2 linked regions of the Xenopus tropicalis genome follow. The protein of the gene in region 2 purifies or fractionates together with the protein of the main gene of each other region. This does not show direct contact. Links are inferred from orthologs where the notes say so. Each region holds a gene or a part of one and is shown on either strand. Other genes may lie near its edges. The genes, in order: dnajb4 and bag5.

Region 1 (3,934 bases), on a different chromosome or scaffold from region 2:
CTACTGCTGGAATGAATCCGTTTTTTGAAGGGGACCCTCCAAAAATCCCATTTGCAAAAAAAAAATCCTCATGTTTTAACATAAACAAAATACTTTTCTGGCTTTGGCTTGTACTGTGATTTAACATTTTTTGGTATTTCAACAGTGAGGTTAATATTGTAAGCACAGCCAATCATGTAAACTGCAAATGGTGATACTTCCAGTATCCTAATAAATACAAAAATCAAAGTCCGCAAAAACTAAAAAAAGAATAAAGAATAAAGTGGTTGGACATGCCATGGACATGGTGAAAAAAATCACCCAGATTTAGTTCTCTGGAGGCCCACGCCCCTGACACTATTTTGGGGTTTACGCCAATAAACTACTCATTACTTGACCAGCTCAGTTTACTGCTGAATGATGCAGGTGAGAAATTCCTAGCTATATGCATTATCTCATTCTCTGTCAATGCAGCCCCTGCAATATTTCACAAAAGAGTGCCACAATTTCTTGCAACAGAAGTACAAGAGCCCTAAGGGGCACAAGCCCCCTCCTGCAATGTATTCAGGGTAATGGCCATAGATCTCCATCATCTGGAAGACAAGGTCCAAAGGGGAAAAAAATGGCAGATTGTACCAGTTTTCTGCACTTTGCACCCAGCCTTCATAAATGACTCCTACAGTCTTTATGCTTCATATTTGCTGAGAATGTTAGACATTAAATTAGAGCTAAGACCAAAAATTTTCTTTTGCATTTAAATAATATCACTGTTACCCTGAACTTTTAAAAACATTGCATTTGCTTGAAAAGCAGTACTACAGTTTATATAACTGGTGGCCGTACATGGCCAGATTTAAGGTGCCAATTTGGCCCAGAGTTTGCCAAACAAGTGAATCTGGTTGTTGTAAGACCTTTTGCTGCTGTGCACTGATTCAAGCTGCATTTAGGGCTATTGGGCACATGTTTACACACATGATGTAACACAGCTGTGTTCATTACATTGGTTAGTTCTTACACTGGAAGATACATGGTTAAAATGCCATTTATAGCTCTACAGAACTACAGAAAGACAATTTGCTGAGGAGAAATTGTGTATCTGTAGGTGCTGGATTAACAGATTTTTAAATTAACAATTTTTAAATGAAAATATATATACAGTATATTTTGGCTTTATAGCATTGCTAGTCCTTTACCTGGAAGTGCCCTCTCAGAAACAAAATCCTTCCCAGGCAAACAGCATACTTTGAAATAGGACTAAGTATTTTAATAATATATAATAATTGGAGCCCCCCCGGGAAGCAAGCCCTGCAAACTTAGTGATTCCTGATGGCAGCCCTGCTATCAACTCTGTCTGTACCTAAGGTAATTTTGATGGGTTGTAGGCTTTTTAAATTGTGGGTTAAAATTAATGGATGCAAATATCTATGAGGTAATAGTATAAATAGTAATACTAGCATGGTATCACATTGGAAAGCCACAATGGGTCCCTTCTTGAATTTGGCCCATAAGGCAAACCTAGCTCTCAGTAGAAGCATTGGGCATTTGTGCTTAACACATATTTAGAGCTACTTAAATTGCCATTAAATGTACCATGATACATCACTATTCTCAAAAAAAGATTTTGCTTCTTTCTAACTTATTTGGACATTTTCTTAGACTTTTACTTGGCATTAAGTCTCTACATAAAATTAGCATAAAGAAATGGTTCTGGTATTTAATGACATCATGTAAATTCCTAGGTTTCTGGGCAAGAAGCCAGTTACAGACAGATCTTCTACACAATGTATGGTACCAAAATGATCATTCACCATTGCCCCCAATCAGAACAAAAGTTTTTTTTTTATCTGTGCTGTCCACACAAATAAACATTGACAGCACATGAGCACAGTACAGGTTTTTCGTATAAACATTTATACGACCAGACAGGTATTTTGTGTCTTTAAGTGTGGTTATATGCATGTTACCATGCATCACAATGTTGTGCAATACTAGATTAAAAACAGATGTCTGTATTATAGCTTATATAAAACATAATGGCAAACATATCAGTGTGTGCATGTTATGCTTCAGAAATAACCTTTATAAATCTACACTTGTAGTACGTTACATAAAATGTAATTCTATCATATTGATAGACAAATACACAAGTTTCATGCAGTGTAACCCCCAATTAGCAAATATCGCCCTATTGTCAACAGCATTGCTTTGCTAGATCATAAAAACAAATCATATTCCTCTCAACTATTTAAAGGGTTAACAAACTGGATTTCACTCTACATAGAGGGGGAGAAGAATAAATAATAATAAATATTCTGCATTGCCTTATTTTTAAGGATAACCATAAAATACTTACCCTCCTCTCCAAATTGATCGTACACCTCTCTCTTCTTAGGGTCACTTAGCACCTCATAGGCTTCAGCGATCTCTTTAAACTTCTCCTCTGCATGAGCAGATTTGTTCTTGTCTGGATGCCATTTAAGAGCCTGTTTTCTATAAGCTTTCTTGATGTCATCTTCCGAAGCTCCTTTTTCAATCCCTAAAACTGAATAATAATCCTTTCCCATTTTTTTTGTCAGATAAATTAGATCTAAAATATAGTTTAATTAAACGATTATTCTGCCTGGAATGGTTCTTAAAATGTATGGGTTGATTTAAAGGTGAAATCCCCAGTGTCTGATCTGATTAGAGTTTGTCCCAGAGTACTGGATTTTACTGGGATAGGATTCCTTCCCCTACTGCTCATATATAGAGAAAAATCAGCTCTCTGCCTCCCAGTTACGTCTATGCTGCCTGTAGAATCCACTAGCTCTTTCTAGAAGTTTTTTTTTTTTTTTTTTTAAACAAGCCAAAGCTTTATTCTTGAAGCAACAGCAAATACATGCTTAACCCATGACAATCTTATAAACATTATTAACAGGAAAACTGTAAATAATGTGTCATGCAAAGTGTATCAGGCTTTTAAAGCTTTAAACAGCTAAATAGTTCCACACTTGCTTGTCCTTATAGGACATAGTGTTTCTTTGGAATTGAAAGAAATAAGAGTGAAATACTTGTACATGTATGGGATCAGTTATCCGGAAATATGTTATTCAGACAGCTCTGAATGAGGTTATTTCACAGAAAAAAATGAAAAAATGTTTTAAAATTTTGAGTTATTGGCTTAAAATTGAGCCTATTGGAAATGGCTTTCCTGTAATTTGGAGCTTTCTGGATAACAAGCTTCCGAATAATGGACCCCATACCTATATACAGTTTATAATGAGTATTTCAGATTTCAAATGTTCTTTTGTTTTGTGGGAGAGTTATTTTATCCTGAATGCATTTCTAGCATGCCTGCCATAATGAAAGGTAATAACATTCATTTTTCAGAAAGGAAACAGTGACCTGGCTGGCAATATTTTTTCCAGTTTTAAAAGAAATATATTTAATTTTACTTTCATCTGCAATTAGTTTGCACTAGCTTATACAGTTTAGTTAGTATAAGTACAATCTTAAAGGACATGAAAAGCCTACATTTGCCTACAATATATATCAGTAATATATATCAGTTGGGCACGTCTCCCCCACCCAAATGGCATCATTTGTACTGCATATATCCCCTCCGTTTGCCAGCACCATCACATTTTCCTAAAGCAAATAGCAGCTTTCACCTGGTGGCCATTTTTCCTGATACTTAATCAGATATATTTTAATCTGCAAACAGCATACACACACAGAGACCCATATTTAGCATACATTTCATCAAGAATACAGACTCACGCAGGCAGAACTGTCTCTGATAAAAGTTCTGCTTTGTTTGACTACTGTAATGGTAAAGCTGAGCTCAGGAGAAAAAAACTGAAGCAGACAGCTAGAGCTGAGTTTCTATGGGAACCAGCAGTGTCATCTCTTCACTGGCTGCTAGACTGGGGGGGGTGTTTAGTAATCTGAGTTTAGAACAACTGAGCATGTCCAC
Region 2 (3,232 bases):
CAAGTTTATGGGAGATAATTTGGAGCTTTCTGGATAACAGGTTTCTAGATAATAGATCCCATACCTGTATTATCATATTTGAAATTAATGTTGTATTCTTTTAATTTTTTTGGCCAAGAGCTTGTGCAAGATTTAATGCGATAAAATGTGAATTTTTGTATATCTTTTTTTAAAAAAAAACCTTATTCAATTTGAATTTTTTGCCCATTTTGAATAGCATGTGCTATGCTTTAAGAATGTTTTCGCTGTCTGTACAGAATTACGAGATGCACATTTTGGTTTGTGAAGCACATTCTCTAAATATATAATGACACAATGGTGCTGATTTATTAAAAAATGAGTTTAGAGCTTAATACATGAAAACCCACATTCACCCTTAATTTCTGTTTATTACTGGGTAAAAGTTAGAGTTCATCATTTGATAAACACACTTCTAAAAATCCCATAGGAATTAACAGAAATCAAGCTGAACTACATCTTTTAATTCTGCATGTGCTGCAATGTCTATTTTGTAATTAGATACCTTAAACGCAGCAGCCTTTTTACACTGAACAATATAATTAAAAATGTACATACTATTCACTTGTGTACATAACAATGACAATGTTGTACCCCCATCAAAAAAGACAGAACTTTTATTTAAGAATCAGCACAAAAATGAGAAGAGAGATACAACTAGAAATATGCCACTTATTGTTCCACTTGATAAAGTCAAACTGGGATATTTAGCATTAAACATTCTATAATTTTTCGCCATTGGTACATGAAAACAAAAACTGGCTAGCTTTTGACTGAAGCTTTGTTTTATGACAGATAATTGGCTTAGTAAAAACCCTATCTTGCAATGATAATGCAAGGATGAAACTGAGACATCTTTACAGCCATATTTAAAGTGCAAGCAAAGCGAAAGCAGTGTTTTTTTTAGTATTCCCATTCATCAGTTTTCATATCAAGATATCCAAGGATATTATTTGCAAGCTTCACAGCTTGTTTTCTTGCAGCCTTTGTACGGCCATCCTGTGAATCAATGGCATCAAGAGCCAGCAATTGTTTAGTAATAAATTCTTCTAATCTCATATAATTTTTATCAGCTCTCTTCCCATCAAAGAAGAGGACTTCCTTTTGAAGTTCAGATAAATGTCCAAAGACAGTCCATACAGCTATATAACATGGAGGCTCTGAGACTGTGTGTTCTGGTAAACTCTGGCGCTTTTCGAGAGCTTCTTTTAGATCAATGTAGGTGATGACAGTTTGGACCTCAACTACAGCTCGTCTTCTAGCTTCACGAATGCAAGGATTCCTCCCTACACTAACTTCATCCAAGCTAGCTATGAGGCCCTGCAGCTCTGACTTTGTACCCATATAGATGTCAGACATATGCTGCTGCACTTCTAAAAGACTGTTCTTTATTTTTGCTGCTTCTTTGCGAATCTCTTCTATTTTTACAATTGACTGGTTTTGGCCCAAGTCATAAGCACTTCCCAACTCAGCTTCATCCTCTAAATCCAAATATTTCAGCAAACTGTTGATTTCCTTAACAACTTCTTTGCGATACTCTCTTATGTCTGTGTGGCCAGAAACATCCAGAGCATCCAGGTTTGCAATTAATCCAGTAAGAGTGCAAGATAAATGCCTGTATGTTTCATTGTCATTGACGCCAGCTAGAAGAGCTATGAGACTGCATCTGGCTTTGTTCACATCACACATAATTGAGTTAATTTTAGAAACTGTTGGATGTGCCTCAGCAGAGAGAGGGAGAGAAAGTACTTGTTGTTTAGAAGAGCTTTCTAAAATTTCTTGAATGGCAAGAACTTTAGTTAAAGTTCGGTACCTAGCTTTTCTTAGAGGGATCTTTCCCTCGGTTTTTACTTGAGTAAGTCTTTTCAAAATATTCTGAATTCCTTCCTCAAATTCATCTGTTCTCTGACCTTCCCCACTAAATTGTGTAGTATGTAGCGCTACCAAACTCTGAGTTTCACTAAAGATCTTTTCGATCTCAAGTCTGCAAGGATGGGTTGCATTCTGCTCCAGTTCCTTTAAAACTCTTTCTGTCTCTTCAGTAGCTTTCTTTTGGGCTTGTAGAATGTTTCCTTTTCCCTCTGTCTCAATAGATTCTATTTCAAATAACTGTTTAGTTAAATCTTTTTCAAGCTTTTTATAAGTTGGGTCACTCTTTAGACCACTAAATGTCACCACTTGTTGTTCAATCTCTTTGACCTTCTTCTGTATTTCTTGAAGAGCTGTGACTGAAGCATGTTGATTACCCATATCCATACTCAATACAGCAATTTCTTAGAAGATACTGGTGCTAAAAAAAAAACCAAAAACAAAAAGGTAAAGATGCCATTCCTAAGACATGTTTATTTAAACAAAAAACAGGTATTGTCTAACCATTACATTACATTACATTTATTTATAAAGCGCCAACATATTCCGCAGCGCTGTACAATAAGTGGGTTACATACATTGGACATACAGAGTAACATATAAAGCAATCAATAACCGATACAAGAGGTGAAGAGGGCCCTGCCCAAAAGAGCTTACAACCATCTCTTCATCCATGTATATATACTGTATATATATATATATATATATATATATATATATATATATATACTGATTTGAATAATGTTGATTTGAATAAAACTTCTATATTTTCTTAAGACCTGTGAGTGCGGACTCTCTCTACAGCTACTCCATCTATTATTTTGGGACTGCACCCAGGCTCCCTTGGACCTACTTATACGTGAGTGCCTGTCTTCTTGCAACATGCTATATATATATATATATATATATATATATAATTGAAACCTATGCCCCACGCACTTCACTTAAAAACTGGAAGGATTTTTCTTAAACTGTTTTTAATAAAATAATGTTCTAGTTATACTTTTCTTTCTCCTCCTCTATCTCCAAAAATTCCTGCATAGAACTTAAGTATGAAACTATGTAGCTAAATTAAGTAGAAAACTGAATCCCGTTTAGCAGAAAGTACTGGCCATGATGCCCTCTTACACTTTTCCATGCTCACACAAATTTTGAGGCCAGTGCACACAGCACACCAGTGAATCTGGTGTGAAACATAAAGGGAAGATAATGCTAGTTAGTCAAAGTTTATACCAGTGCTGTCCAACTTCTGCGGTGCCGAGGGCCGGAATTTCTTTAGCATACACGGTGGAGGGCCGCTAATGGAAGCCAGTTTTGGCCACTCCCCTTTTTTTGAACCACACCT

Evidence for each region.
Region 1: the proteins of bag5 (region 2) and dnajb4 purify together in Homo sapiens (affinity purification with mass spectrometry; 4 studies listed by BioGRID and IntAct, with this or other methods). This does not show direct contact. The link is inferred for Xenopus tropicalis from reciprocal best matches to the Homo sapiens genes BAG5 and DNAJB4.

The regions. Positions count from the first base shown.
Region 1 is NC_030680.2:80,147,808-80,151,741, forward strand, and holds the start of dnajb4 (dnaJ homolog subfamily B member 4), read right to left. Parts: upstream 2,791-3,934; 5' UTR 2,544-2,790; coding exon 2,333-2,543; intron 1-2,332. UniProt on the Homo sapiens protein: Probable chaperone. Stimulates ATP hydrolysis and the folding of unfolded proteins mediated by HSPA1A/B (in vitro).
Region 2 is NC_030684.2:98,469,330-98,472,561, forward strand, and holds bag5 (BAG family molecular chaperone regulator 5), read right to left. Parts: upstream 2,309-3,232; 5' UTR 2,275-2,308; coding exon 922-2,274; 3' UTR 620-921; downstream 1-619. UniProt on the Homo sapiens protein: Co-chaperone for HSP/HSP70 proteins. It functions as a nucleotide-exchange factor promoting the release of ADP from HSP70, thereby activating HSP70-mediated protein refolding.